Linked DNA regions of Arabidopsis thaliana. The protein of the gene in region 1 purifies or fractionates together with the protein of each later gene. This does not show direct contact. Each region holds a gene or a part of one and is shown in the gene's direction. Other genes may lie near its edges. The genes, in order: AT1G26160, VTC4 and AT3G02860.

The links.
Region 2: the proteins of AT1G26160 (region 1) and VTC4 fractionate together in Arabidopsis thaliana (co-fractionation; one large-scale study listed by BioGRID). This does not show direct contact.
Region 3: the proteins of AT1G26160 (region 1) and AT3G02860 fractionate together in Arabidopsis thaliana (co-fractionation; one large-scale study listed by BioGRID). This does not show direct contact.

Annotation. Positions count from the first base shown.
Region 1 is NC_003070.9:9,040,263-9,051,258, reverse strand, and holds AT1G26160 (Metal-dependent phosphohydrolase), read left to right. Parts: upstream 1-4,209; 5' UTR 4,210-4,313; coding exon 4,314-4,571; intron 4,572-4,731; coding exon 4,732-4,856; intron 4,857-5,386; coding exon 5,387-5,424; intron 5,425-5,747; coding exon 5,748-5,858; intron 5,859-5,939; coding exon 5,940-6,019; coding exon of another isoform or gene 6,020-6,061; exon of another isoform or gene 6,062-6,137; coding exon 6,138-6,174; intron 6,175-6,266; coding exon 6,267-6,308; intron 6,309-6,389; coding exon 6,390-6,475; 3' UTR 6,476-6,837; downstream 6,838-10,996. Other genes in the region: AT1G26170 (ARM repeat superfamily protein), read left to right, coding at 1-6, 93-157, 236-297, 374-497, 584-641, 737-849, 1,008-1,085, 1,192-1,254 and 11 more; PERK10 (proline-rich extensin-like receptor kinase 10), read left to right, coding at 8,386-9,523, 9,789-10,199, 10,275-10,361, 10,484-10,554, 10,644-10,720, 10,816-10,963.
Region 2 is NC_003074.8:627,012-637,524, reverse strand, and holds VTC4 (Inositol monophosphatase family protein), read left to right. Parts: upstream 1-7,599; 5' UTR 7,600-7,842; coding exon 7,843-7,855; intron 7,856-7,938; coding exon 7,939-7,994; intron 7,995-8,079; coding exon 8,080-8,130; intron 8,131-8,254; coding exon 8,255-8,335; intron 8,336-8,419; coding exon 8,420-8,523; intron 8,524-8,620; coding exon 8,621-8,705; intron 8,706-8,846; coding exon 8,847-8,901; intron 8,902-9,034; coding exon 9,035-9,078; intron 9,079-9,166; coding exon 9,167-9,235; intron 9,236-9,325; coding exon 9,326-9,426; intron 9,427-9,537; coding exon 9,538-9,594; intron 9,595-9,683; coding exon 9,684-9,783; 3' UTR 9,784-10,013; downstream 10,014-10,513. Other genes in the region: AT3G02880 (Leucine-rich repeat protein kinase family protein), read right to left, coding at 543-817, 911-1,228, 1,416-2,706; ILR1 (Peptidase M20/M25/M40 family protein), read right to left, coding at 3,666-4,064, 4,169-4,297, 4,390-4,704, 4,953-5,078, 5,173-5,532; AT3G02860 (zinc ion binding protein), read left to right, coding at 10,368-10,456.
Region 3 is NC_003074.8:618,742-628,915, reverse strand, and holds AT3G02860 (zinc ion binding protein), read left to right. Parts: upstream 1-1,548; 5' UTR 1,549-1,758; coding exon 1,759-1,847; intron 1,848-1,982; coding exon 1,983-2,082; intron 2,083-2,281; coding exon 2,282-2,441; intron 2,442-2,634; coding exon 2,635-2,917; intron 2,918-3,111; coding exon 3,112-3,187; intron 3,188-3,281; coding exon 3,282-3,328; intron 3,329-3,430; coding exon 3,431-3,617; 3' UTR 3,618-3,753; downstream 3,754-10,174. Other genes in the region: VTC4 (Inositol monophosphatase family protein), read left to right, coding at 12-96, 238-292, 426-469, 558-626, 717-817, 929-985, 1,075-1,174; SKOR (STELAR K+ outward rectifier), read left to right, coding at 5,443-5,681, 6,264-6,488, 6,572-6,635, 6,703-7,042, 7,122-7,417, 7,492-7,572, 7,649-7,747, 7,839-8,249 and 3 more; AT3G02840 (ARM repeat superfamily protein), read right to left, coding at 9,297-10,174. UniProt on the Arabidopsis thaliana protein: Essential for breaking seed dormancy before seed germination. Prevents reactive oxygen species (ROS) accumulation in response to abscisic acid (ABA) and oxidative stress, probably by repressing the accumulation of ABA-induced ROS-scavenging enzymes (e.g.

The DNA of each region.
Region 1 (10,996 bases):
GAATTGGTAGGTATTGTAAGATTTACTGCTCCAACATTACTTCTCATTTGGTATTCAAACTGTTGTACATAACTGGAGCCTTTATTTAACAGGGTATCATGAATGTCCTTTCCTTTATGCCCGCATATTTACAGCCGTTGCTAAGTTCTCTTCTGTGGTAATATTTTTATTTTGTTTTCTCCCTAAATAACTCTAATCAGGAAGACATGAATTGAATCTTTTTCACTTTAATCAGATCAACGCGGGAATCCTTGAGCACTTCCTCAATGCTGCAGTTAGAGCTATAACCATGGACGTGTATGTTTTCTACCCTTCTGCAATTCTGCTGTTTAGTATCTTTCAGAGATTAAAGTTAGATACTATTATAAAACAGGCCACCACCTGTAAAAGTAGGCGCATGTCGGGCACTTTTGCAGCTCCTACCCGATATGAACAGTTCGGTTATTCTGCCTCAGATCATGAATTTATTCTCATCTCTCACTGATCTTCTCCGTCAGGTAATTTTTCTACTGAGTGCCTTTTAGCATACAACATGCGTCTATTTTACTTTTGTGTCACTCGAGATTTATATTCTTTTATTCAGGCTACAGATGAAACTTTGGTTTTGGTACTTGAAACTCTTCAACAAGCAATTAAAGCTGGTAAGTATACATATTTTTACTCTTTGCAAAAAACTTTCAGAATCTAGTTATGCAGTAGTTCCCACCTATATCTTATTTTCTTTATCATCTGCTAGGCCATGAAGCATCAGCTTCAATAGAGTCGATTATCTCTCCAGTGATTCTTAATGTGTGGGTGGCACATATTTCAGATCCCTTTATGAGTATCGATGTAATTGACGTCCTGGAGGTAATTAAAGTGAATGTGGTTATCATTCATTTTGTTGTTAGAAATGCAATTTGCCTAGTTTGTTTATGCTAACACTTAGCACTGCTTATATCATTCTTAACTGAACAATAAAAAATACTTTGTTTGCGGCTAATTTCTTTCCTATGGCTGTCACACAGGCAATAAAGAATTCGCCTGGCTGCCTTCATCCATTGACATCAAGGATTTTACCATTCATTGGACCAATTTTAAATAAGGTGCTGTGCGGAATCATTATTTCAAGCTTGTGTTTCCTCTAGTTTTACTATCTTTCTTCCCTGGTTTCCTTTTAATGACATCTCGGTGGTGAATGGTGAGAATCAGCCACATCAGCAGCCTGAAGGACTAGCGAGTGGATCCTTGGATCTTTTAACTATGCTTCTTAAGGCAAGTTATACTAGCTAGATTTTCGTAGTACGCAATTATTTTTTATGCTAAATGGACAGTATTTGTGTTTTGCTGACTATTTTTCTAGTCATATATAGGGTGCCCCAAGTGATATAGTGAAAACTGCATATGACTTTTGCTTTGCTGCTGTCATTCGTATCGTACTCCACAGTGAGGATCATGGTGAACTACAGGTGATAAAATATTCCATTTCTAGTTTGCTTCACCTTTATATCGACGAAGGTCACTTATCACTAGCCTTTTAATTGGTCAGAATGCTACAGAATGCCTGGCAGCTTTTATATCTAGTGGTAGACAAGAGTTGCTCACATGGAGTGGTGATCCCGGTTTTACTATGAGAAGTTTGCTTGATGCGACTTCTAGGTATAGTTCTTCACTTACTTTTTCGATTAGTTTATTTCACGTCCACCAAAAGCTGAGGCCTACTGTTTTTTGTTTTCTTTTTGCATTTATTAATATGTTGCCAACACTTGCGCATGCAAATTCAGTTGATTTTTGCGTATACGTGAGTAAATCTATGCACCATAAAAAATAGTCTGAATCACCTGCAATTGTTCTGCTTTTTAGAGCCTTCTGTGACATATCTACATTTCTTGGAATCATTTGGTTTGTTTGTTCCTCAATGTTTTCCAATTGGTATCTTTTGAAGGGTACATCTTGTCTTTCTTTACAAAGTCGATTTCTCAATGTTCGTGCAGGCTTCTCAACCCTGATCTGGAAGGTTCAGGATCTCTCTTTGCTGGGAAGTACATTCTGCAGCTTATCTTGCATCTTCCGTCAGAGATGGCACCCCATGTCCAGGATCTGGTTGCTGCTCTTGTAAGACGGTTGCAGTCTGCTGAAATTTTGGCTTTAAAAGGCTCATTGCTACTGATTTTTGCCAGATTGGTAATCTTCACCTTTCAGTTGGATAGTTTTAGTATATTAATGGTTCCTATCTTCTTTGTAAGGTGCTGTCAAGGCTCCAAAAGTTCACAAAAATTTTTTATCAGTCCTGCGCTGTAACCATTGATTTTTGCAGGTTCATATGAGTTATCCGAATGTCGATCAGTTTATCAATCTGCTTGTTAGCATACCCGCTGATGGCCATGAAAATTCCTTTACATATGTTATGACAGAATGGACTAAACAACAAGGCAAGCATCTATATCCGTGTTGTCTAGTTGTATAACTCTATTTGTATAACGTATGCGGTAAGGGTTTTTCTGGCTATTTCAACTTATTGTTGGTTAAGCATCTATTTTCAGGGGAGATACAATCCGCATATCAAATCAAAGTCACAACTTCAGCTCTGGCCTTGCTACTGTCCACTAGACATTCTGAATTTGCGAAGGTCAATGTCCCAGGCAGTCCAATTCAGGTCTTATGCTGTACCCATCTTTTTTTGTTTTTTCTTAAAACGCAGTTTATTCTCAGCCTTACAGAAACTTGAGTTAATTTCTGGTATAGTCCAATGGTGGCATAACTACTCGCTCAAAAGCTAGATCTGCTCCTGAACAATGGACCATTATCCCTCTACCCATGAAGGTATGTTATTGGTTGATTCCTTGATTCCTTGATCTAAATGTTCTCAATGTACAAGATGCAAGTCGGAATATGTATTCGTTGGGGATATATACAGTTCTATCCTGTATCTAAATGTTCTTAATCAGTCATATCCTCCTTTCTTTTCATCATTCTGGTGTATGCTTTCAGAAACTTTACATTCTTTGGCTCTGCAGATACTGGCTTTACTAGCTGATACATTGATTGAAATTCAAGAGCAAGTTTTGAGTAATGAAGACGAGGTGATTATAGTTCCTTGAGCTTCTTTATTTCCTTTCCCATCGTTGAATTGAGTGGAACTTGAGATGGCTAATTCTGTTCTCCGGAGTAGCAGGATAGCGAATGGGAAGAAGTGCATGAAGGAGACGCTAAAGCTGAGAAAGACTTGCTACGTTCAGCTGGTACCTCCCAATTCAGCAAACCCACATATGACCAACTTGAAGCAATGGCTCGTTTTGAGGTCCTTTTTTCTCTTTTACCTACATGGCTACTATACCATTGAACCTTATCTTATCAGAGTTACCGATTGATTTGACAGAACCAAGACGATGAGGTTGATGACCACCTACTTGGTACCGACCCCCTTAATGAGGTGAACTCTTGTGTTCTACATAAGTGTTGTATCTGCTCCTAATTCTCCAACTCGTGATCTGTTTCACCAACTCTCTTTATCTCTGAAACAAACAGATTAATCTGGCAAGTTATGTGGCTGATTTTTTGTTGAAGTTTTCGAGTGAAGATCGGCCTCTTTTTGATAATCTTTGCCAGGTTTGGTTTCTATTCTCTTATAACCTATCAACATCATGAAACTTAATATGAACCACTCGGCTTGTTTTCAAATATCTGTAGGGCTTAACAAATGCGCAAAGAAACGTGATCCATATGGCACTGAACCGCTAGGCTTGGCCCGTTATAATCCACAACTCTTGGCTTGAGTGTTGTTTTTTGTCAGTTGATTGATTTTTGGGGAGTAAAGAAATGGTAGCATCCCTTTTGTAAAAGTGTAGTTTTACACAAGGTACTCTATTAAAATATATCTTTGCAACTTTAAAGACTGAAGAAAATCCCTCTAGTCTCATGTTAAACTTTACAGTAAACATCGTAGAATTACTAAACATCTAGTAATGAAACAAATACTAAAGGCCGACGGATTAATAATATCCATCTTAGCCAAACAAATATAATTTATGAACTTCATATTTTTCGTACGTTACGGTGAACGAGATTCGTGTAGTCGTTAGTACATTGAAGAAAAGCTAGTAGCCTATAATATTGGTCGCAAAGATTGATGTGGGGGAATTAAATCCTTCTAATTGTCCATATATTTATAGCCCGTGGGAGTAATTGGGCTGGGCTCTTAGTTGCTGATGTAAACGGGTAAGAAAAACCCGACCCGACACCGAGCAACCAGCTCCTCAAAGGAAAAGCAAAAACACTGAAACAAACAAAATCAAGTTCTACTTTTTTTTGTTTGCATAGAATCGAGATCATCTATGGCGGTGATTAGTCCAGCTACACGTTTCGCACCGCCGCTGAACCGGCCTTTTCACCGCCGATCAATACTTGCCTCGTTTCATTCTTCCTCTAGGAACTTCCTCTTCCTCGGAAAACCCACTCCGAGCTCGACGATCGTTTCCGTCCGGTGCCAGAAACCTGTTTCCGACGGGGTTAGCTCTATGGAATCCATGAATCACGTTGCATCTTCAGTTTCGTCTTCGATCGATTTCCTAACGTTGTGTCATCGTCTCAAGGTATGTGTTGAACCATATAGACTACTACCGATTCCGAAATCAAAACAATGGATTGAGTTAACAACACTTGAGAGTGGCTCTCAATTTTTGAATTGGAGATCTGCATAGTTATATTCATTGGTCAACATTGTCAAGTAGTGAACTTTTCCTTCTTGTGTAGACAACAAAGAGAAAAGGGTGGATTAATCAGGGGATAAATGGACCTGAATCAATTGCTGATCATATGTACCGTATGGCTCTAATGGCACTTATAGCTGGTGATCTTACTGGAGTTGACAGAGAAAGGTTCGGTTTTGCCTCAAAATGTTTTTCCTTTATTTAGATGATAGAGAAAGGCTACTGTATATTGATTGTACAATGCATTTTGGAAGGCCTGGTGTATACATATGATTTGTTTAGGTTTTTGATAAACGAGCTTGTAGAGCTCCGTGAGGGCTGATGTATGTACGTTTCTCTTCCTAAAGTGATTGGTTCTATCAGAATGCGGGTATCTAAGGAGAAACCGATAGATCGTTGATGGGCTAGTTAGTTATTGTGCACTTTATCTTCTAGAGAAGTGGCATATTCTGGAACTCAGGATGTAGTGAAAATGTTCCTGGAGTTGAATGAAATATATGAGCAGCTAGTCAGAATTACAAAACATGTGCTCTTAAAGATTTAGGTATGATTTGAATCAGACACGTTCAGAAAGTTGAATGAAGGATAAGATAGGGAGACCATCCGTGAACAATTGATTTTTAAGTGTGAATTCCTTGTTTTCTGGCTATTGCTTACTGGATTTTTCTGTCTTCCTTTTTTCTTGGCATCTTAAACAGGTGTATAAAAATGGCAATTGTGCATGATATCGCTGAAGGTAAATAAACATTTGATCCTACTTTTCAATTGTGAGGTTCACTATATTTCCTATATTCACTAGTTAGTTAAGTTTCATTCAAAAAATACTGGGTGGTTTGGAGGATACAAACTTGTATAGATTTATACCCTGAGTAGGGTAGTATATGTAATAGATACACTTGGATTCGTATATGAAAATTTAATTTGCTGTGGAGATGGAACTAAACATGTGTTGAGAGCTGATTACTTTGGTTTCTTTCTCTCAATTCATATATACTCTTCTTCTGCAACTTAACGCGTAGAAATTTTCAAAGCCTCACCACTTTACTGGCTTCCGAATAGCTATTGTTGGAGATATTACCCCATCTGATGGTGTGCCTAAGGAAGAAAAGAGTAGGAGGGAGACAGCAGCTTTAAAAGAAATGTGTGAGGTTCTTGGTGGAGGCCTCAGAGGTATATACGCCTTTGCCACTGTCATCTTCTATTGTTTTGGTTTCCAAAACACTTATTTATAAGCCTAATGTCAACGTGCAGCGGAGGAGATCACAGAACTTTGGCTGGAGTATGAGAACAATGCTTCTTTAGAAGCAAATATTGTAAAAGACTTTGATAAGGTGGTTAATGGGTTTCGAGTTTGCAACAATCGATGGCGTTAATTCCTGTTTCCTGTTAAGAGTCAAAACTTACTCAACACAAGGGTTACACTGACTCTCGTCTCTATTACTGTTTTAGGTTGAGATGATTCTCCAGGCGCTAGAATATGAAGCTGGTAAGTCTCAATCTTAAACTTTGTAATCGCATGTGCTTGTTGTTCCTCTCCCATCACAAGAAATCTCACTTGACGTTTGAACATCATTGCAGAACACGGGAAAGTGCTCGACGAGTTTTTCATATCAACAGCAGGTAGAGAACCCATCTCATACACTCTCTTTGCTTTACAGTTTTAAACGTGAAATCATTTGGTTTCATCAATTTCAAATGCAGGCAAGTTTCAAACAGAAATTGGAAAAAGCTGGGCTGCTGAGATCAACGCTAGGAGAAAAAGCCAATTGACAAACAGGCAGAGATAGTAAAATCCAGTTGCATCATACCTTCAATCTTCCTCAACTATCAACAGTAGAATCTCGGAAACTAAGCAGACTCCTCATGAACCAAAAGGTACAAGCTTCTAGTGAAATTTTCAGTTTTGTAGTTCAACGAACACAAAGTCCTTGTTTTTTTAACTTCCCCTTTTGGTTACTAGTTGAAGTAGAAAATGCTTTTTTTTTTGAGAAAAGTGATCAAAGTTTCTTATGAAAATCTGAAGTTCGAGGTTCCTAATATGATTATGTTGTAGTCACAACCCAATTGAAACATATCACACACTCTTGTAGTTGTTAATGTTTATCATAAATGATATATATGCATTTCTCTGACCCCACTTTAACGCGTGTGCATTGTCATTGTCACTGTTAATATTGAAATCAATGTTAGAACTTAGAAGAGAGAGTCAACAGCTACAGAATCTTGATACCAAATGTTGTCACGTGTATTATTACTTACATTCCTTCCTCTTCTTCGGCAATGATTATGCGTGCAATTTCCTTTTCACACAGACTGGTTTTGTTAACAAAGATAATGAAGAGCATATAAGATATGTATTTTAATCAACCGACACAAGTTTTTGCATAGCAAGATCCTCTCCACTAGCCCCAACTTTGTGAAGATAGAGAGTGACAAATTAAAATTACAAGAAAAAAGGTGGTGGTAATTGAAAATGAAAAACAAAGAACATAAAAAGTCAAGACTGAATAATTAAAAATGGGTTCCACAGTGCCACTGCCTATTTGTTTGTTGCTCTTTTTCTTGTTTTATCGGCATGTAAGTGATGGTCCCAAAGTTGTCAATATATCCCTTTCACAGAATTTAATATCCACCAACGAGTGAACTATTATTTTTCTATTATACATAACATTTTTTCTGGACCAAACGTACCATATGTTATGCACACTAGATATTCCAATTGTTAACTATTTACCCCATACCACAAATGATACTTTTTTCACTTGCATTATCTTTTGTTTTCTTTCGTTGTTTATGTCAATGTATTACGTAGCAAGCTTAGTCGAAATATCACACGTTATTGGTTGAAAGTTATGTGATTTTTACGATTGCCATAGTATTTGAGATTTGGTAAAGAAGCTGTATAATCACTATACTACTAAACAAAACAAAAAAAACTAGATTTGCATATCGAAATCGCCAGTTACCATTTTCACCAATGATATCGTAAGGTGTTCGTGTTTTTTTAATTGGCAAAATAAGAAAAAACTAGTATTAATTTTGACCATTGATTTTGACTTTGAAGGAAAGCATTCTTTTTCCTTTTATGATGCATAAATTTGTCTTGAGTACTTCCCTTGTAGATTTTTCTTATTTGCCTAGCGCTTGTTTGTTTGATGATGCGCACAATATCTTTTTTCCAAATTTTTGGTTTTTTCTTTAACAGCTTTACACAAGTTTGAACCTTCAGAAACCATTTTTGCTCAATCTCATAGACAGAGAGAGACAATTTACTTAGCTAGGTTCTAATAGCTCACTGTAGAGTTGGGTTTTGACTAGCAGAGGAAATTTTTGGTGAAGTGTGTGGTCTCGAAGGAAAAGCTCTTTATACAGATCCGAACAAGTTTGCATTTTTGTCATCTAATCAGATAATCTCGCTTATCTGGAATTTGCATTATTGGTGATCTGGGTTTTATCTGTTTAGTGTTGAAGCCTGTTGTCCGAGTATTTAGGGTTCAAATTATAGTACAGTGTTGAGTGATGTGTGGTTTTTAGTTGGTGCTTGGAGGTTACTGTCATACTCAAGTCTGGGAATTTTTGTTTCTTTTTTGTTTAATAATTTCTCTTAGTAAAGTAAGTGACGGTGTTTGTTCAATTTCAGTTTTTGATCAGAAGAGTGTTGGTGAAGAAGATGTTAGAATCTGGTCTTGGGATTTAGATGACTACACCTGCACAGGCTCCTAGGGAGGAGGTGTCACTGTCTCCATCATTGGCGTCCCCTCCACTAATGGCGTTGCCTCCACCGCAGCCTTCGTTTCCCGGTGATAATGCCACTTCCCCAACTAGAGAGCCCACTAATGGCAATCCACCAGAGACCACAAACACCCCAGCTCAGTCTTCTCCTCCTCCTGAGACTCCACTATCATCACCACCACCAGAACCTTCTCCCCCATCACCTTCACTAACTGGACCTCCTCCGACGACGATTCCAGTATCTCCTCCACCAGAACCTTCTCCCCCACCACCTTTACCAACTGAAGCTCCTCCTCCAGCGAATCCAGTATCATCACCTCCACCAGAATCTTCTCCCCCGCCACCTCCACCAACTGAAGCTCCTCCTACTACTCCTATTACATCACCCAGCCCGCCAACAAATCCACCACCACCACCGGAAAGCCCTCCTTCACTACCTGCACCAGACCCTCCAAGCAATCCACTTCCACCACCTAAGTTAGTCCCACCATCACATTCACCTCCACGTCATTTACCTTCCCCGCCAGCCTCAGAAATTCCTCCTCCTCCACGTCATTTACCTTCCCCACCAGCCTCAGAACGTCCTTCAACTCCTCCATCAGATTCAGAACATCCTTCTCCTCCTCCTCCAGGGCATCCAAAACGTCGTGAGCAACCTCCTCCACCGGGTTCTAAACGTCCTACTCCATCACCTCCTTCTCCAAGTGACTCAAAACGTCCTGTGCATCCTTCACCTCCTTCTCCACCAGAGGAAACTCTCCCACCTCCCAAGCCAAGTCCAGATCCCTTACCTTCTAATTCGTCTTCACCACCAACATTGCTTCCACCATCGTCAGTTGTATCCCCGCCTTCGCCTCCTCGAAAATCTGTGTCAGGTCCTGATAATCCATCTCCAAACAACCCCACTCCTGTGACAGATAATTCCAGCAGTTCTGGTATTAGTATAGCGGCTGTTGTGGGTGTAAGTATTGGAGTGGCCCTTGTGCTGCTTACTCTCATTGGAGTTGTTGTCTGTTGCTTAAAGAAACGGAAAAAGAGGCTCTCAACCATTGGTGGTGGCTATGTTATGCCAACACCTATGGAATCCTCCTCCCCAAGATCAGGTAATCTTAATCTCGTCTACTTTTATAAGGCAGTTAGTCTTTGCCATCCTTAAATGTCTTGGCAAGCATGGCAGAAAGAAGTCTCCTTGTATAATTGATTGTTTGAATCTTATTAAGACATGTTACTTTAAACTGAAGAGTTCATAGTTATTCAGAGATTAAGATAGTTTGTGTCAAGAGTTCATAAGTATGGATATTGCTATGTATATTTTGATTATCATCAGTATTTCTGGATTTTCATCTCCATATCTTTGTTATTATACAGATTCAGCGCTTCTGAAGACGCAGTCATCCGCACCTCTAGTGGGAAATCGTTCTAGCAATCGTACATACTTATCACAATCAGAGCCTGGTGGTTTTGGTCAATCGAGGGAACTGTTCTCATATGAAGAACTTGTCATAGCAACAAATGGATTCTCTGATGAAAATCTCTTGGGTGAAGGTGGATTTGGTCGTGTGTATAAAGGAGTTTTACCAGATGAAAGAGTGGTTGCTGTGAAACAATTAAAAATAGGTGGAGGACAAGGTGACCGAGAGTTCAAAGCCGAGGTTGATACCATAAGCAGGGTACATCACCGGAATTTGCTTTCTATGGTTGGATACTGCATTTCCGAGAACCGGAGATTGCTTATTTATGATTATGTCCCTAACAACAACCTTTACTTCCATCTTCACGGTAAGTAAGATTTCTAGACATAAAAGCACAAACCCAAACCACATTTACTTATTACTATCTTTCCATGGTCTTTAGCCGCAGGAACTCCGGGTCTAGACTGGGCAACACGTGTTAAAATTGCTGCTGGTGCGGCTCGTGGACTAGCTTATCTCCATGAAGATTGTAGGTTGCTACAACTCTTCAAAAATTTATGGATAAAAGAATCAAATTCTTTATGTTATTCTTTTGGTTCTTGGGGACTACATATTATTTGATGAATGATTTTAATGGTAAAACATTTACAGGTCACCCTCGTATCATACATAGGGACATCAAATCATCCAACATTCTCTTAGAAAATAACTTCCATGCCCTGGTATACATTCATCTGCTCTTCTGAATTTGCAAAGCTGCTGATTAATTAAAAATCATGGGTTCTAACACTGGTTAGAATCTTATTCGTAGGTTTCTGACTTCGGCCTTGCAAAGCTAGCTCTCGACTGTAACACACATATTACAACTCGGGTCATGGGAACATTCGGGTAGGTGCTGGTTAAGGTCCCATATGACATTGCTCATGAGCAAAACTTCTTTCTGTATATGTTCCATCTTATAAACGATTGGTAAATGTTTTCAGCTACATGGCTCCGGAATATGCATCAAGTGGCAAATTAACCGAGAAATCAGACGTATTCTCCTTTGGGGTTGTTCTACTGGAGTTAATCACTGGACGTAAGCCTGTGGATGCATCCCAACCTCTGGGAGATGAGAGCCTTGTTGAATGGGTATGGTATAAATAAGCATTTAAACTTTTGAGA
Region 2 (10,513 bases), on another chromosome or scaffold:
GTTTTTTCTTTCTCCTGTGAAGTAGGGTTATTAGTTAGTGGTTACCAACTTCACATTATAAAACTTCATATCTAATCAAATCGTGAAGTATTTGTCAGTCAATCGTGAGACGATATTCATGACCACTTTTGTCGTTGACTTTGTTTTTGGCTCAAAATTTTGGACGGCGATAAAAAATAAAACTCGTTGACATTGTTTTTTGGCTGAATCGTTGACTAGGATTCTGGGATAAGATGTGTAAAGAAGAAAACAAAAACCAATTTATTCACACGCAATCAACTATATATTTATACAAAAATTAGCAAAAGCAATAGTTTTATAGACATTTTTAAAACTTTGGAAATAAAGAAAAGTAGAAAGAAAGAAAAAAAGAAACTGATAGGTCTCATCTCAATTTGAGGCTCAAGAATTAACGAACAAACTAGAACAAGAACAAAGAAGAAGAAGTAGAAAAAAGGCGGGAAGTGGGGTCGACACTATTCAAGAAATTGCAACTTGACCCCAAACAATATTCAAATCAATCAATTTAGACCCCCAAAAAATCAGTCGGATACAGGATTTGGGGAGCCAGATGAATGAGAAACCTCCTCAATGAGTCTGGTGACTTCAGCCATCGAAGGACGACTATCTGGGAACTGAGCCGTACAGCTCATACCGATCTTCAATAAACGAATGATGTTCTCATTGCCCTCAGGTTGGTACCTTGTGAGCTCGGGATCAAGCACATCGGACGGTGTTTGTTGCTCGGTAACAGATTGGACCCATCTCGGCAAATCTACGCCTTCTTCATTCAACTGCTGATGCGTTGGAGACTTACCTGCAATGTAATGTTCCATGTTAAAACCTAGAAACCACAGCAATTGCAAAAAAAGCAGTTAAAAAGATATATCTATCCTTGATTGTTTGTTACCTGTGAGTAATTCAAGGATTAGGACGCCAAAGCTATAGACATCAGCTTTTTGGGATATTTTGCGAGCATCAGTGATTTCAGGGGCACGGTAGCCATCAATACGGTTAGGTGCAGATGTAGAACTAATGATGGGAGCAAGACCGTAATCAGAGACCTTAGCTTCATAGGAGTCAGATAATAGTATGTTCGAGGACTTAATGTTTCCATGAGAAGTTGTCCCATCACGCGAATGTAGGTAGCTAATCGCTCTTGCAGCTCCTAAGGCTATACCGGCTCTGGTTTCCCAGTTCAACGGAGTTCTCCCGTTTCCTTTGTTCCCTACAAATCCATTAAAAGAGCTTCAAAACCGAGCTTGAAGACACATAAGATAAACTAACTATGAAACAATTCAGTAATCAGTGTCAATTTTAGCCAAACCAGGTCCATCAAGATCACAAACTAGCATCAGCTAAACTAAGAACCCTAAAAATAAACAAATGCACAAATGGAGATTACTATTCTATACCGTGCAATATCGCAGACAAGCTTCCTTTAGACATGTACTCAAAGACAAGAAGCTTCTCGTCACGGCTGAAATAGTAAGCGATCAGAGTCACGAGATTGGCATGACTCATTGATCCCAAAACATGCAATCTCTCTCTGAACTCTTTCTCAGGCACCACAACATCTCTTAACCGTTTCACAGCCACCACTAACCCATGCTCAAAGCTTGCCTTATACGACGACCCAACTGTTCCTTTCCCAAGAACCTCAGCTGAAGCCTTCAACAATCCATCCAAATCGAATTCCCCGAAAGATTTCACGAAAAAGGTCAAATCTTTATTCACCGCACCACTCTCCGACCCCGTAGCCTTAGCCGGCGGGACAACAACCACCGTTTCCTTTGGTATAGCAGCGGAGGAAGTCGCAGCAGCGACAGGAGCTTCAACATTCCTAGATGGAACGTTCTCTTCTTTCTTTCTCTTTCTACAGAGACAGAACAGAATCAAAAGAAGCAGTAACAGACCAACAACACATCCGATCACAATCCCGACAATAGCTCCGGCGGATAACTTGTCGCTATCTTTCTTCTCCGGCGGCGTATTGGGTCCTCCAGCGTCACCACCATTGGGGCTCTCTGCCTCACAAGTGTCTAAAGGCTTCCCACAGAGAGTGTTACCTTCAAAAGCAGTTCGAGGCCAAGACGACAACGAACTCGGAATAGACCCGTTTAACTGATTAGAAGAAACATTGAATTGCTGAAGAGGAAGCGTGATCTCAGGGATCGGACCAGAGAGTTGATTCCTCTCCAAATACAGAGTAACCAACCGGGTCGCAGAATTGACATTATCCGGGATCCGACCCGAGAATTTATTCTCCCCTAGATTGATTCTGATTATGCTCGGAAGCGTGAAGAGAAGCGACGGAATCTCACCGGAAAAGGCATTACCTTGAAGATACAAGTAACGGAGGAGAACAAGGTTGGAGAAATCCGAAGGGATAGGACCAGAGAGAGAATTGAACCGGAGAGAAAGAGTCTTAAGCTGGGTTAGATTACCAATACCACCGATTGGTAAAGAACCGAATAAACCAGATCCGGGTAATCGGAGAGCCGTGACCCGACCCGCATCGCAGTGGACTCCGTGCCAATTACAAGGAGAAGAAGCACTCATGTTCCATAGCAAAGGACGGCCACGGACACTGTTACGAACAGCGAGTAAAGCTCTCCGGTCAGACTCTAGATCTGAAGTCACCGCAGCGAGATAGAAGACAAAGAGGAAGACAACAGAGAGACTTAGCTTACGCTTATACTTCATCTTCTTCTTCTTCTTCAAAAACCGTGTAAATTCTTCGTCTCCTTGGTTCCAAAAATTCAATAAATATATCGACTTTTTCGGATATGGGTTTTTGGAAAATTTATTTCGGCTACGCGTAAACGAGTGTTTGAACAAAGAGACTTTTGTGTTTTTTGGTTTACAAGAGTTTCAGCTCTGTCTTTCTTCTCTCTCTAGAGCCGGCTAAGAGAGAGAAAATGGTCATAATTGCAGAGAAAAAGGAAAAAAAGAAAAGTTACTAATTGGAATATTTCCTTTTTGACAAAAAAGTTAAAAGAGAATCTTATGTATTTAATTTGACAGCTAATTTACAGAAAGATAATTAATTAATTATAAGGTTATGACTTATGAATACTAGTTGTAACAATTTTATCAGAGTCAACTATATTTGCGTTACATAAATGACAATAAATCACTGCAGTAATGTTTTTTGTAGACGTTTAAACGACCTCTGTTTTTCCTTTCTTTTGTATTAGATCAATAAATTAGGTCTAATTAAAAAATTAATGGTCGTTATCGTTTTGTTTCTTTTATGTTTTTTTTTTTTGCAGGTTGAGTGTGACCAAAGACATGCCAGGTCTGTCAAATGTGTCTGAGCTACCGTTGACAAACAAAGATTAGCCTCTCCGACACCGTTTTTATTTCTGATATAAGTTTGTACCATAGACATTTTTTTTTTTTTTTTATGTATTTGTTGTATCAATTTGAAAGGAAGGTAATAGAAATGGTCAACAGAGAACTTAAGAAGTGGTATTCATTTTGAAGATTTCAATTGTTCAATTTTTAAAACTCTTACATCAAATTTATTTTAATAGAAGTGGTTGGTTTCTCGTGACTATTAACAAACATTCTTCCCAACCCGAAACCTAACCTCACCTAACTTTCAAGTTCAAATACAAATAGATGATGACTAATATAAGCTGATTTTCTCCCAACACCTTCTATAATTCACTCTTAACCTCTTCTTCATGGCTATGACCATGTTCGTCCAAATAAGAAACGGCCATAGCTGCGTGAAGAGCAGCCCCAACAGGAAGAGCTTCTTCATCAACAAAGAAGTAAGGCGAGTGAAGCGGCTTACCAGCGCCTAGCGTCTCATTCTTTACCCCCAGCACGAAAATCGCAGCCTTAGTCTTTTGAGTGAAGAAGCTGAAATCCTCTCCTCCCATTGTCACCGGGAAATCATGGAAGTTATTCTTTCCAATCATCGCTTCCGCTACTTTTTTACCGTGCTCGTATAAGCCCTCGTCGTTATTCATTACCGGGTGAAGCGACGGCTTTTTCTCTTCGAAGTTTACTTCTGCTTTGCATCGGTATACCGATGCTTGTGCCTCTGAAATCTGCATCATCATCAAGAAACATTTAAACAGGGTTAGGGACCTACATTATTCGAATAGTAGAACAAGATTGTATAGAAAAATGGTGTAAAAAACAATCTCTTTACCTCTTTGATCCGTCTTTGGATAAATAGAAGCCCATCGTTGCTTAAGCTTCTGAAAGTACCTCCAAATTTCGCACTCTGCGGTATTACGTTTTGAGCATGACCTCCTTCAATATATCCAACTGTAACCACCTGAGAAACATAAAAAAACCAATCTCCGCTGATTTCAGCCAAGATTCTGATTCATCAAACACCAATGCTTTGAAAGTGGAAAGCAAACTTACACCAGCTTCGAGTGGATCCAGTTCCCGCGAAACAATCTGTTGCAAGGCAACAACAGCGGAAGAAGCTGCAAGAACCGGGTCTTTAGAGAAGTGCGGTGTAGCTGCGTGGCTACCTTGACCGTGAACCGTGACTGTAAACAATCCTGCACCTGCAAGAACGGTCCCAGGCCTAGAACCAATACCACCTGATGGGATCGATGGAAAGACATGAACACTGAGTATCCCATCTAAGTCGTCTAGAATCTCGTCTTTTAGCATTTCATAAGCACCTGCATAACCTTCCTCGCCTGGTTGAAACACAAGTTTTACTGTCCCCTGTTGCAAAAAAATTGTGTTTTCGTTCAAAACCCTCATAAGATTCACCAAACTCTCATAAGACACACACACTAACAACTCTAGAAAACACACACACATAACAATTAGCAATCAAAGACATACACACACATATATCTAAGAATCTTAGAAAACACTAACCCACATCGAAATGAGTTTTAATTGCAGGGCACAGACAGAATCATTCAAAATTATACATATAAATTGAGTGAAAGAGAAAAAAGAGAGACCTTGATGAGGTGTTTTGTGGTTTGAAGAAGCTTAGCAGCACCAAGAAGCATAGCAACATGAGTATCATGACCACAAGCATGCATCTTTCCATCTACTTTACTTTTCGATTCCCATTCCACTAATTCCTTTTTTTGTCCCCATTTTTTCAAATTCATTAGTCAAACAAAGCAATCTAAAAATCAGAGTAAAAATCGGAACTTTGATTATTAGATTTCAAACCTGTAACGGAAGTGCGTCCATGTCGGCTCTAAGTCCGAAAACAGGTTTCGAACAGGATCCGATCCAAGCGACGACGCCAGTCTTCGCCACAGGATACTTATACTTCACTCCAAGCGAGTCAAGCTCGTCTCGAACGAGTTGACTCGTTTTGAACTCCTGAAACCCTGTCTCTGGGTTCTCATGAATCTTTCTCCTAATTCCTCTCATCCACTCGAAGAACTCAGGATCCTTGGCTGAATGAAGCATCCCGCGAGCGAGTGACTCGAGACCCGAACCAGAATCGTAGCTCCCAGCTGAAGACAGAGGAGGGAGAAAGAAGAAGGTAACGAAGATGACAAAGAAGCTCCCTGAGAAATCCATTCTGATTTCTTTTGTTTGTCGATGTAAACTGGCAAGTGTCAATGAAAGAAAGGACAACGGTGAATACGATGATGATGAAGGAGAAGGAGTTGGATCACCGATCCATTTTTAATATTTATATAGTACGTAATTTACACACGTTTTTGGAAACTCTTTTAATCGTTTTTAAATACGTATACGCCTCTAATGTGAAATTCATAATTTATGGTTGTAATGTGAAGAAAATAATGAAATACCAAAGATAAAATATGAAAATGATACAATGTAGTATATTTACGGTATAAAAGGAATATTTACTTGAAATGAATTAGTACGTTTAATACACGATTTTACCATTTATGTTAATGAAAATTAACACTTTTAAAATAAAACATGGCATGAATTAGAGTTGTGAGAATCACATGTAGGCCTTTAAGGTTCTTAAATTTTTAATTCCTTATAACATAGGCCCATGTATTTGATTGACATATAGGCCATTGGGTTCTTCGACTTTTAAATTACTTATAACAAAGGCCCACCTATTTGAAGCGCATTGTTAAACATTTTGTTTATATTTTGATTATGATCGAAAATTCTCTAGAACAATTCGTACAAAAGAAGCTGTTTACGAAAGTAGCTGTACATGCGAACATAATCAATAAAAATGTAAATGACTAATGAAACATCAGAATATCCGTACAAAATTGTGACTTTATATTATTTAGTTATAGGTACAAAGTTGTGGAGAGTAAAAAAATAAAAAAGGTAAAAAGTTGTGGAATAGACCTATGAAACAATCACAAACATACAACCAAAATGCAAATTGTAATTACGCAACAGAGGCTTTCTTTTCAAGGAAGTCAAGTGTAAGATTTGCAAATGCCCCAATTATTATTTGAGAGAAAAAGGGATATTGCTAATCACAATTAACGGTCACATTACAATTCCCTTTTTTCTCTGTTATTTCCTCTTCTTTCACAATTAAGTTCTTAACGGTCACATAAATATTTTGTTTTTTATATAATGAGTTTAATTAAGTTGAAGAATCAACTGATAAGGTTGATGATCCGATCCTCAAAAGTATACTAACCACAACACTGTCTACGTTCATGTTAGTACCTACTTCAAAGTCCATGTACGTTGGGACTGGCTGTATCTTCCGCCGAGAGCAGCAGAGAGCGTCATCGCTGTCTTGGAACGAGAGAAAGGTCGAGACTATCTCTAAGGCAACCAAAAGCTTAGCTATGATGAAGACATCTTTCTCTCTCTCTTTGCCTATGAATGGAGAATACAACAAATAATATAAAGTGATGGACATTTCTATGCTTTGCTTCTCTTCTCCAAAGAGAAATAGATGAAAAAGATTGTTGATTTTCGTTTCTCTCGAAGAAGAAGAAAGAAGAAGAAGGTGAATAGAGACTTTTGATTTCTCAAGAATGAACAAGTAGATTGTAGAGTGTTAGTGTTTAGTTCTGTTCTTAGGTTGCAGAGATTGTGTATGTGTGGCGTTTGATGTCTCGTGTTGGAGAGGTGGTCTCGTTTAGAGTGTTAGTGTTTAGTTCTGTTCTTCTGTTGATCTGTGTTTTTTTTAAATGTAAATTACACAAGTATGCAAAACAAATCTCTTCTCAGAAAGGGGCTACTGTTATATCATGAGATTTATAAGACAAAATGTAAAATATCGGAAAAATAAAACAACATAATTTTGGTGTTGAATGAGTTTTTCTTGTCCACACAACGGCAGAAGCAGTAGACGATTGTTCCTTTGTCTCTTGATCACAAACCGATTTCAAAGTGTTCTTCGCATTTTTCTCATCAATGTAAGTGAACCAGCCAGAGAAAGACAAGTATGCACCAATATCATTCCGGCCCCATATTCAGAATAAATTAGAACATCTTTTTCCTTCCGTGTTATGCACTTGTTCTAAAAAAAAAGAATTCCGGCCCATATTCAGAATAAGGAGTCCAGTCCAATAGTCTCAAGTCCAAACCCGACTCGGGTCTGTCCGACCCGGAAAAGAGAACTGATTACAGAATGCGGGTTTTGTCAAGAGAAAGTTGGATGATAAAATTGAGGTGAAATCTAATCTTCAAATGATCATTGGTTAGCTTTTTGTATAACGGATTTTCTGAAATCCTCTTATTTCCCATATCGGACCGTGATTATTGGGTGATTTCGGATGCCTAATTGGGTAATTAATATAATACAGTATAAGATTAGATGCCTCGAATATTCGCTCTGTGCCTAACCACAAAAACCGTAACTTTTGGTTTTCTCTGAAACACATCCCAAAGTAAAGAAAGCATCACTCTTTTCGTCTTCTCTCGAAAATGGCGGACAATGGTAAAGTCACGATCAATCTCTGCAAACCTTATTTGATTTCCCTGTTTCCTCATTTTCTTTCGGGCGACATTGATTTGACGCAGATTCTCTAGATCAGTTTTTGGCTGCCGCCATTGATGCCGCTAAAAAAGCTGGACAGGTCTATCTTTCGATCTCCTTGAGTTTTGATCGATATTTTGGCTAATCGTTATTTAATCTGGCTCCTTTTGGTTTGCGTTCTGCAGATCATTCGTAAAGGGTTTTACGAGACTAAACATGTTGAACACAAAGGCCAGGTTTTTGTTTCTTTCCTCCGCTCAGATAATGTTTCAATCACTCAATAAGTGGGAATGGCTACTTAAGAGTGTCAATTTTTTTTTTGAAATTATCTTCTATGGCTCCTTAAATTGTTGCTTTTAGGTGGATTTGGTGACAGAGACTGATAAAGGATGTGAAGAACTTGTGTTTAATCATCTCAAGCAGCTCTTTCCCAATCACAAGGTGGTGATTATTTCTTCTTTTGAATTCCCATTTTGTTGGCTTCTTCCTCGCGTTGATCATTAGAGTTTTGCTATAATTTATTAGTTCATAGGAGAAGAAACTACAGCTGCATTTGGTGTGACAGAACTAACTGACGAACCAACTTGGATTGTTGATCCTCTTGATGGAACAACCAATTTCGTTCACGGGTATTATCATTATTGATCAATTCCCATTTGAATGACCTGTGTGTTTCATTTGCCCATTTCATCAAAAACAAAAACAAATGCTGTTTTTTTTTTGTAGGTTCCCTTTCGTGTGTGTTTCCATTGGACTTACGATTGGAAAAGTCCCTGTTGTTGGAGTTGTTTATAATCCTATTATGGAAGAGGTAAAAGATTGTGTATTCCATTGTTTCAAGTTTCTTCGATCGTTACAACTTACCATTATACATAGTTTCCTTGATGGTGCTCTGTACATGCATGTTTCAAGATTTTTCTCAATTCTTACATAATATCTAATGATCAAACAGCTATTCACCGGTGTCCAAGGGAAAGGAGCATTCTTGAATGGAAAGCGAATCAAAGGTTAGCACTTGTTCTAGAGACCTAATAAAAAATTTCTTGATCTCTTTTTATGGCATCCGGAGTATAGCTATCACTTGTTCAGAGACTTGAGTTCTCTTCCTTCTTTTCAACTCAAACAATGTTCTTTTTGCAGTGTCAGCTCAAAGCGAACTTTTAACCGCTTTGCTCGTGACAGAGGTAAAAATCTGGCTCCTTTGTGTTAGACTACTAAAACTAGATTGCTATGAAGCCTCCTCTCATCGCTAATGTGACCAATTGAATATAGGCGGGTACTAAACGAGATAAAGCTACATTAGACGATACAACCAACAGAATCAACAGTTTGCTAACCAAGGTAAAAGTTTATCGATAGATATTTGGAACTCCACCAATTTGGTTCTAGTCTCTGCCAAAACTCATGATTGTTGTGTCCTTCATTCATCAGGTCAGGTCCCTTAGGATGAGTGGTTCGTGTGCACTGGACCTCTGTGGCGTTGCGTGTGGAAGGGTTGATATCTTCTACGAGCTCGGTTTCGGTGGTCCATGGTAAATTGTCTTCTTTTTTTTTTCCTTGCTTGGATTAAAAAAGGGGATTTCTTTCTTGTACAAACAAAATTAGATCCTGATGATGGCATAATAATATCAAATCTTTCACAGGGACATTGCAGCAGGAATTGTTATCGTGAAAGAAGCTGGTGGACTCATCTTTGATCCGTAAGAGTTTGAGATTAAACCAAACACACTCACTCTCAAACCGTCCAACTGATTATAACTAACTGTTTTATGTCGTCTTTGTTCATCAGATCCGGTAAAGATTTGGACATAACATCGCAGAGGATCGCGGCTTCAAACGCTTCTCTCAAGGAGTTATTCGCTGAGGCGTTGCGGCTTACAGGGGCATGAAGTCATCTGTTATTATTTTACAATATGGTCTCAACCTTATATGATCAAACTCAATTCAAAAACTTAACATTATTGAATATTTCTTTTCGGTAGAAAGAAAACAAACTCAATTGTTGAGAAAAAAAAAAAACTATTTTCTTTCTGCTACCCTTTGTGAATTCAATTAAAAAAAAATCATATGTTTGGTATTGAATGATATAATTCTGTTCTTCCATGTAGTTGATCTTTGTAATCGAGTTTGCATTTTTTTTTTTTTTATAAAAGGTGGAGTTTAAGGTATTTTGTGATCCATACTAAATTAACAACAGAGGAAAATGGGGATAATGAGTCCGGCCCAGTTACGACTAACGACCCAGAAGCATCCCGAAAGTCTCAAGTCTAATCCCGAGTTGGATCGACCCGACCCGTAAAAGAGAAGAGATTGCGGAGAAGAACGGAGGGAGGAATTTTGATTCTCACGGTGACTGTTGTCCTCCTCTAAGGACTTAGGGTTTGATTTGAATAGAACAAATTTCTCAGATCTTCGTATTCCTTGCGAGGTTGTGATAATTTGGGAGTTGCGTGGGTTGCTACGAAGGAGAGTGATGGATGCTCAAGCGAAGAAGAAGGCCATGTTCCGGTCTAAACTCAACGCCAAGAAGAAAGACACCCGCATAGATTCTCCTCTCGTTAGGTAAACCGTTGTTAGCTTCTTCTTCTCTTCGTTTCGATGTCACTTCTGGGTTTCTAC
Region 3 (10,174 bases), on another chromosome or scaffold:
TTTTTTTGTAGGTTCCCTTTCGTGTGTGTTTCCATTGGACTTACGATTGGAAAAGTCCCTGTTGTTGGAGTTGTTTATAATCCTATTATGGAAGAGGTAAAAGATTGTGTATTCCATTGTTTCAAGTTTCTTCGATCGTTACAACTTACCATTATACATAGTTTCCTTGATGGTGCTCTGTACATGCATGTTTCAAGATTTTTCTCAATTCTTACATAATATCTAATGATCAAACAGCTATTCACCGGTGTCCAAGGGAAAGGAGCATTCTTGAATGGAAAGCGAATCAAAGGTTAGCACTTGTTCTAGAGACCTAATAAAAAATTTCTTGATCTCTTTTTATGGCATCCGGAGTATAGCTATCACTTGTTCAGAGACTTGAGTTCTCTTCCTTCTTTTCAACTCAAACAATGTTCTTTTTGCAGTGTCAGCTCAAAGCGAACTTTTAACCGCTTTGCTCGTGACAGAGGTAAAAATCTGGCTCCTTTGTGTTAGACTACTAAAACTAGATTGCTATGAAGCCTCCTCTCATCGCTAATGTGACCAATTGAATATAGGCGGGTACTAAACGAGATAAAGCTACATTAGACGATACAACCAACAGAATCAACAGTTTGCTAACCAAGGTAAAAGTTTATCGATAGATATTTGGAACTCCACCAATTTGGTTCTAGTCTCTGCCAAAACTCATGATTGTTGTGTCCTTCATTCATCAGGTCAGGTCCCTTAGGATGAGTGGTTCGTGTGCACTGGACCTCTGTGGCGTTGCGTGTGGAAGGGTTGATATCTTCTACGAGCTCGGTTTCGGTGGTCCATGGTAAATTGTCTTCTTTTTTTTTTCCTTGCTTGGATTAAAAAAGGGGATTTCTTTCTTGTACAAACAAAATTAGATCCTGATGATGGCATAATAATATCAAATCTTTCACAGGGACATTGCAGCAGGAATTGTTATCGTGAAAGAAGCTGGTGGACTCATCTTTGATCCGTAAGAGTTTGAGATTAAACCAAACACACTCACTCTCAAACCGTCCAACTGATTATAACTAACTGTTTTATGTCGTCTTTGTTCATCAGATCCGGTAAAGATTTGGACATAACATCGCAGAGGATCGCGGCTTCAAACGCTTCTCTCAAGGAGTTATTCGCTGAGGCGTTGCGGCTTACAGGGGCATGAAGTCATCTGTTATTATTTTACAATATGGTCTCAACCTTATATGATCAAACTCAATTCAAAAACTTAACATTATTGAATATTTCTTTTCGGTAGAAAGAAAACAAACTCAATTGTTGAGAAAAAAAAAAAACTATTTTCTTTCTGCTACCCTTTGTGAATTCAATTAAAAAAAAATCATATGTTTGGTATTGAATGATATAATTCTGTTCTTCCATGTAGTTGATCTTTGTAATCGAGTTTGCATTTTTTTTTTTTTTATAAAAGGTGGAGTTTAAGGTATTTTGTGATCCATACTAAATTAACAACAGAGGAAAATGGGGATAATGAGTCCGGCCCAGTTACGACTAACGACCCAGAAGCATCCCGAAAGTCTCAAGTCTAATCCCGAGTTGGATCGACCCGACCCGTAAAAGAGAAGAGATTGCGGAGAAGAACGGAGGGAGGAATTTTGATTCTCACGGTGACTGTTGTCCTCCTCTAAGGACTTAGGGTTTGATTTGAATAGAACAAATTTCTCAGATCTTCGTATTCCTTGCGAGGTTGTGATAATTTGGGAGTTGCGTGGGTTGCTACGAAGGAGAGTGATGGATGCTCAAGCGAAGAAGAAGGCCATGTTCCGGTCTAAACTCAACGCCAAGAAGAAAGACACCCGCATAGATTCTCCTCTCGTTAGGTAAACCGTTGTTAGCTTCTTCTTCTCTTCGTTTCGATGTCACTTCTGGGTTTCTACAATTCCAAATATTTGTGGGTTCTGGGGATTGGGCTTGAGCTGTAGTTGGGATGAAGAGTTTGTTCTTTGGATTTGTAGGTACAACGAATCAGACCAGCCTGTGTGTCGAGTTTGCAATGTCGTCTTGAAATCTGAATCACTCTGGGATGTACATCAAGCTTCTCGTAAGCACCACGAGGTAAACTTAGTGTCTTCTGCTCCATAAGCTTTACTTCACAATCTCTTATAACCTGAGTAACAACAATGGGATATTTGATAAATTACATACATTGAAGATAGGTAGATTTCATGCTCTTATATGATTTTATGCGTTAGATTCTCTGTTTTATGTTCTTTAATCTTATTAACTTAGCTTTCGTAATGTAACGTTTGGACAGGCCATTGATAGTCTCAAGGCTAGTGCAGCGGGAGTCCAACGGGGTAGCAAACCTGCTGAAACTCGGCCAACGAAAATTGAAGCTTTGGCTAAATCATCCAATTCTCAGACATCATCTGGTCTTCCGCCAAATTTCTTCGAAAATCGTGAGCCTGCTAGAGGTAATGACTAATGCACTTTCCTCTTCTTGTTCTTATCTTTTTCGAATAATTTTCTTAGTAGAAGGCTTTTGGTTTAGGTGCTAGTTATGTGGATGCCATGCTTAAAGGCTCTAGTCTTAGGTTTTTTGAAAGATTGATGATAGTTTCATTCGTCAATCGAAAAAAAAAACTTATTGATCAAATATATGTGCAGCAGAAGTAGAACCAGCAAAATCCAAGAATTTAGAGCAATCAAAGCACACTATAGGATCTGAAACAAATAAGTCAAAGGGACCTCTTCCAGCCGGATTCTTTGATAATCAGAAAACTGATTCTTCAAATACCAAAACCACCAGTGAACCTAAACAGAGTCAGACACAGACCACTGGTCCAGAAACAAAACCAATGGTGAATGGAAACCTTCCAACCGGTTTTTTTGATAATAAAGAAGCTGACCTGCTTGCCCATGGAATCAAGCTCGTCAAACCAGATATCAAGTGAGTTTCTTCTCTTTTTTTTTTTGTTGCTTTTACTTTTCCAGATGCAGAAAATCAAAGTGAAACCTCATTGTTGTGGACCTTGTGATCCAGTTACTTTCCTACATTCTCAATTTGAATGGTTCATATGATCTTATGGGTTTGTACCTAAGAATTCTCTTCGTGAACTTATATAAACATGGATCTTCTTACAGGGATGAATATAAAGAATTTGAGAAGTTGATACAAGATGATTTGCAGGTAGTGGATAGCCGCATGGAAGAAGAAGAGGTCAGATAACTTTCTGTCACTATGATAAATTGCTGACAGTATCATAAGCTCTTTCTTAAACTTAAAATCGCTTTTCTCGCACTCTAATTGTCAGGTTGATGCTGCGGAAACTATAGAAGAGGAGGAACAACGAGAGCAAAGGTAATTTGATTCATTACTTTGTTATAGCAAGAAGATGGAAATGTTGAGACTTGTTTAAGATTAAGTAAACACTTGGCTTCTCCTTTTAATCTTATTCTGCAGATCATACAAAGAGAAAGTAGAGATTCTGAAGAGGAAGAAAATGGAACTTAAAGCGGCAAGATTAGCGAAGCGCAGTAAAACCTCTGAGGGGTCTGTTAAAAAGCCGAAGAAGACAGAAGAAGAATCGCCCAGCGATGAGGAGGATGACGAGGATTCTGCTGTTGATTGGAGAGCTCAACATCTTTGAATAAACTAGAAAAGACTGTTTAAAAATCTGTACCCTGGTAAAACATACAATGTTCTATGAGAATATACAGTGAAAACTAATCAATCTCATATATATACAATTATCAGTTTCAGAGGATCAATTGGTATTTGAGGTATAGTTATCGGTTAATGGGTATAATTCAAGAACGTAATTTTCATAACCAGAGTTGCCAAAAAGGCCGAAATATCTGGGGATGAAACCTGAAACTGTGGCAGTTCCGACCAGTTTCAGGTGATAAACTAAAAAAAAAAAAGTGATTATGACTGGTGGTCGTATCATTCTAGTTTTGAGTGAGAATGTTTCAGATATTGATCATTTGGTGGCACAAAACATAATGACGAAAGTGGTAAATTTAACAATCATCTTTAAAGTTAAAACTCTTATTATTGTTAAACAAATACATGTGGAATAATAAATAATTGAGACAATTCCAGAAACCAATTAGGGGTCAAATATGTCGAGAAACTAATTAGGGGTCAAGTATTGAAGAAGGAAGAAGACCACTAACTAAACATATTCATATTTTTTTGTGAATTTTTGGACTATTTGTGATTACCAACCATATGCTTATATAACTTATAAAAAAAATGCATTAGGCTTTCCACTATAAACCATTGACATTTGAAATATTTAAATCAAGATATATGCATAACCAAAAAAAAAAGGGTTATGTTATCTTGTTTATAACTTGAAAAGGAGTCCACAAAACAAAGAGAGAGAGAACAGCCAAAGCAAAGGTCGGTTAATGCACAATCGATGATATAACAAATATCCCATTAGAACATAAAATTAGTTAACTAATTACTTCTGACCTAACTGAATGCACTCAATCTCCTATAATACCTTAACATTATCTAGCTTGACTAATCATATAAATTGTCACGTGAATTTTCTAATGGTAAAGTGTTTCACAACGGGAATCAAAGTTTAGGGACATTTCAGTTTAGAGTCTATCCATCATAACACTTGTATCCCAACTTGGTTTTTCCAAATTTGTTTTAGATAAAATACCATTTTTCGAATTCATCGTCTTCATGTGAATTTTAGGAAAAAAAGAGTGACAAAACACACACACGCACACACACATCGGCTTCGACCTACATAACCAAACGATATCTTGTAAAATACCACACACAATCACAAGTGTTTAATCTTATGATCTCTAATCTCTTATGCATGTTTAAACGTGATAAAGGAGAAATCGTTTAGCATTAGAAAGAAAGAAACATTTACGAATAAAATGATCGAAAAAGTGACTTCCTCGAACTTTATCACATCACGATACCTTATCACATGTACGTAACACGTAATGACTTATTGTTTATCTTGTGGTTATAAAAGACTCTCTTATCATTTATATGGTGCTCTTCATAGGTCATTCTAAAAATAAACCCATATCTCACTGGTTCACCTTATTTTTTAAAACATATTATTATTCTTTTACACTACGTTATCTTTTATTATGACCATAAAAATATTAATATAGCATGGGCTTTTTGAATCACAATTTGAACTTTTAATGTAAAAAATAAACAACAGCACTAACAAAAAAAAACCGAAAATTTGTGTATAAATTTCGCCGATTCCATGGTGTTGTTCATCGAATTAACTTGAGTTGCTATTTTTTTCTCTATCTGATAAGTTTCGAAATTTGAAAACACAGGCGCCAATTTTAGGCATATAACTGAAAATCACAAAAAGGAAATAAGAGAGAAAGAGAGAGAAAGAGAAAGAGAGAGAAAAACAGAGAGGTTGTCTTCTTCGTCAAATATCCGATTATCTGGTATCGTGATTCGGAGGTGTAATGGGAGGTAGTAGCGGCGGCGGAGTTTCTTATCGTAGCGGCGGCGAATCAGACGTGGAATTAGAGGATTACGAGGTTGATGATTTCAGAGATGGGATTGTAGAATCGCGAGGAAACAGATTCAATCCTCTCACCAATTTCTTAGGGTTAGACTTCGCCGGCGGTAGCGGTGGAAAGTTCACCGTCATTAATGGAATCAGAGATATCTCCAGAGGCTCCATTGTTCATCCCGATAACCGGTACACCATAAATTCTCGTCACGCTTTTGAATTTTGTTTTCTGAGTCCTTTAACTTTTAATAGTTTCATAAGTAGGCCTTATGTTTTATTTTGTATTATTCTAGTCCACTTACTTTGTTATATGGATTTTAGGGTAGGTATTGATTAATTTCTTTTTTTCTTTATACTGAGACTAAATCTTATAGAAATCAATCTTCCTATATATTTTGAAGCTACGTACTACTTTTATTAGAGAAATTTTGAAGGAAATTTGTTAGCTTAACAACTTTCGGGGTCAATTGTAGTGCAAACAAAAACATTAGGGGCTTGATTGTGGATTTAACCTTCCTTTTTAGTGTAATAACATTTTCTTCGGTTATTCATTCATTTCCCGCCACTTTATGACACGTATCAGTTTCTCAATGGTTACAAATGATCGTTGGTTAAAAATGTAACAACCATGAGTCTGTACACGTCAGACCAGATTAAAGAAGAAAACTCTGTTTCGCTGAAGTTTGGAGCAATAATAGAAGTAGACTAAGTAGTGAGTTTAGTTTAGCTACTAAATACTCTGTCCGGATCTAAAGATTCTTGAATTTGCAGGTGGTACAAGGCGTGGACGATGTTTATATTGATATGGGCACTTTATTCTTCCTTCTTCACTCCATTGGAATTCGGATTCTTCAGGGGATTACCAGAGAATCTGTTCATCCTCGATATCGCTGGCCAAATCGCTTTCTTAGTAGATATTGTCTTGACATTCTTCGTTGCTTATCGTGATAGCCGAACTTATAGAATGATCTATAAACGCAGCTCAATTGCTTTACGGTATTCAAACTCTACTCTGTTTCTGTTTTCTTGCTATCTACTCAATGAGATTAACCTCTTCATGGTGTTTGTCAATTTTGTAGGTACTTAAAATCAACTTTTATAATTGACTTACTTGCTTGCATGCCATGGGATATCATCTACAAGGTATACACTTTTTACTCTTTTGATTTTGCGGGAAACGGAGAATTTGAAACTGTGAATTTGAAAACAGGCTGCAGGCGAAAAAGAAGAAGTGAGATACCTATTGTTGATAAGGCTATATCGAGTTCATAGAGTAATCCTGTTTTTCCACAAAATGGAGAAAGATATAAGAATCAATTACCTTTTTACAAGAATCGTCAAGCTTATATTCGTCGAGCTTTATTGCACTCACACCGCAGCTTGTATCTTCTATTACTTGGCCACGACGCTTCCTGCTTCTCAAGAAGGGTACACTTGGATTGGAAGCTTGAAGTTAGGAGATTACAGTTACTCGAAGTTTAGAGAGATCGATCTCTGGACTCGATACACTACTTCTATGTACTTTGCAGTTGTTACTATGGCAACTGTTGGTAAGTTCTGATAACTGAAAACTTGGTGAATATATCGTTTGCTTTCATTCCTTAACTTGGTATGTTTCTTATAATGCAGGTTATGGAGATATACACGCGGTTAATATGCGGGAAATGATATTCGCGATGGTCTACATTTCATTCGATATGATTCTAGGAGCTTACTTGATTGGTAACATGACAGCTTTGATTGTAAAAGGTTCGAAAACAGAGAGATTCCGGGATAAGATGGCTGATATCATGCGGTATATGAACCGAAACAAACTCGGTAGGAACATCCGTGGTCAGATTACCGGACATTTGCGGTTGCAGTACGAAAGCAGCTACACTGAAGCAGCTGTTCTTCAAGACATTCCTGTCTCTATCCGTGCTAAGGTATGATGAGTGCTTCAGAGATGCTTGTTCAGATTCAGATGATGAACAAATGTAAACTTATGTTGTTACTGCAGATTGCGCAAACTTTATACTTGCCGTATATTGAGAAAGTTCCTCTCTTTCGCGGATGCTCATCTGAATTCATTAACCAGATTGTAAGCCTTTTGATTTTTTTGAAAATTACTTTCTTTCTTCAGGTAACTAAAGAGCACACTTTTGCTTTTATTACAGGTTATAAGACTTCATGAAGAGTTCTTTCTTCCTGGAGAAGTTATAATGGAGCAAGGAAGCGTCGTTGATCAGCTCTACTTTGTTTGTCACGGTGTATTGGTAAACAAAATATCTGTGTTTTCGTCAATAAATGTTAGGAATGACTAAAAAATCTCAGTTACTAAACCAAACTTCTTGTGATTTCAATCAGGAGGAGATAGGTATAACAAAGGATGGATCTGAAGAAATAGTGGCAGTTCTACAACCAGATCATTCTTTTGGAGAGATTTCAATCCTCTGCAATATTCCTCAGCCTTACACGGTTAGAGTTGCAGAGCTATGTCGGATTCTAAGGCTTGACAAGCAATCTTTCATGAACATACTCGAGATATTTTTCCATGATGGACGGAGGATTCTCAACAATCTGCTTGAAGGGAAAGAATCTAATGTCCGGATTAAGCAACTAGAATCCGATATAACCTTTCATATCAGTAAACAAGAGGCAGAGCTAGCTCTGAAGTTGAATAGTGCGGCTTTCTACGGTGATCTTTATCAGCTTAAGAGTTTGATTCGAGCTGGAGGTGACCCGAATAAGACAGATTATGACGGAAGATCGCCTTTGGTATGCTTCTACAGCTTCTCGGTTTCTTAAATCCAACATTGGAAGATATCTATTAACATATTTTTGTTGTTAACAGCATCTTGCAGCCTCTAGAGGATATGAAGATATTACATTATATCTTATACAAGAATCAGTTGATGTAAATATCAAAGATAAATTGGGGAGCACACCTTTACTAGAAGCAATCAAGAATGGGAATGATCGTGTTGCGGCGTTGCTTGTTAAAGAAGGAGCTACGTTGAACATAGAGAACGCAGGGACTTTCCTTTGCACCGTGGTTGCGAAAGGAGACAGCGATTTCTTGAAACGGCTTCTTAGTAACGGAATTGATCCTAATTCCAAAGATTATGATCACAGAACACCTCTTCATGTAGCTGCCTCTGAAGGATTTTATGTCTTGGCGATCCAATTGGTAGAAGCAAGTGCTAATGTTCTTGCAAAAGACAGGTAACTTCTTTTTTAACCAAATAAAGAGCGGTTTGTTTTCGCGGTTGCTAACAGTTTTTTTTGTAATTAGATGGGGAAACACACCTCTTGATGAAGCTTTGGGTTGTGGGAACAAGATGTTGATAAAGTTACTCGAAGACGCTAAGAATTCTCAAATCTCTTCGTTTCCGAGTGGCTCCAAAGAGCCTAAAGGTAGTTTTATCGGCATATAAGTCAAAGTACCGATGTTTTTTTAGATAGAAACTTTAACAAGCGGTTTGTTTATTCGAATAATCTGCAGATAAAGTCTATAAGAAGAAATGTACAGTGTATTTTTCACATCCTGGTGATTCGAAAGAGAAAAGAAGGCGCGGGATTGTACTGTGGGTACCTCGAAGCATCGAGGAGCTTATAAGAACAGCAAAGGAGCAGCTGAATGTTCCGGAGGCTTCTTGTGTATTATCTGAAGATGAAGCCAAAATTATTGATGTAGATTTGATAAGTGATGGACAAAAACTGTATTTGGCTGTTGAAACATAATGATTCGAGCAAATTTCAAAAAATCAGTTTATTTAGAAACAGAGTAATTACAAAGAATAATAGTGTGTTTTGTTTGTTTGACTAAAATGATTTCTTCACATTCTTCAAATGCATTGAAGAATCGACACAATTTGTCTTCTCGATCTCGTTTCTACAACGGTTTAAATTCCGCAAGAGCTCGCTCGCTTTCTCCTTCGTCTTATCCTCGCACCCGACTTGTAAGAGCACTAAGAGTTTCTCAAAGGCACCAACTTGAAGAGCTTCAACTAACAAACGATCATCACATTCTCCGTCTTTCTTATTCTTCCATAGCTTCCAAAGTATCGAAACCGAACATTGTGTCGCGAGATCCGAAACTCTAAGAATCTTCTTCACCAGAAGAGGAACGATCAAAGCGTTTCTAAGAACATCTTCTTTGCCTTGCTCGTTATCGCATGTAGCGTTTAAAACAACTAGAGATCTCTCGCAAACGCTCTTTTCGGCATTGTTCACCATCATCTCTGTGATCAACTCAACCAAACCCAGTTTCACAAATTTTTCAGTGATCTTGTCGTTAGAAGAAATCGCTCTATAAATCACCATTAAAGATGCTTTCGTGGAGCTAGTCGAAACAGAGTCTCTGATGATCTTAACTAATCCTTCACAAGCTCCTTCCACATCTGTTAACGCGTACACATACCTCTTGTCTACTGCAATAACCTCTCTGATGCAAAACGCAGCGTTTTGTCTCGTTTTAGCGTCCTTACCGTTCAAGAACCGTACGAGACAGTTAAGAGAAGCCGTTGATCCCATCTTGTTGAAACCTTCTGATCGATTCAGAGGCAACCAAGATGATAGAACAAACAAGATTTCCTCCAATAAACGCATGTGTCCATCACGCGCCGCCGCGAATCTTTCAAAACAAGAAGACAAAGCCAAAACGCTTCCGTTTTGGACCAAACACTTCTTGTTCGTGTCCC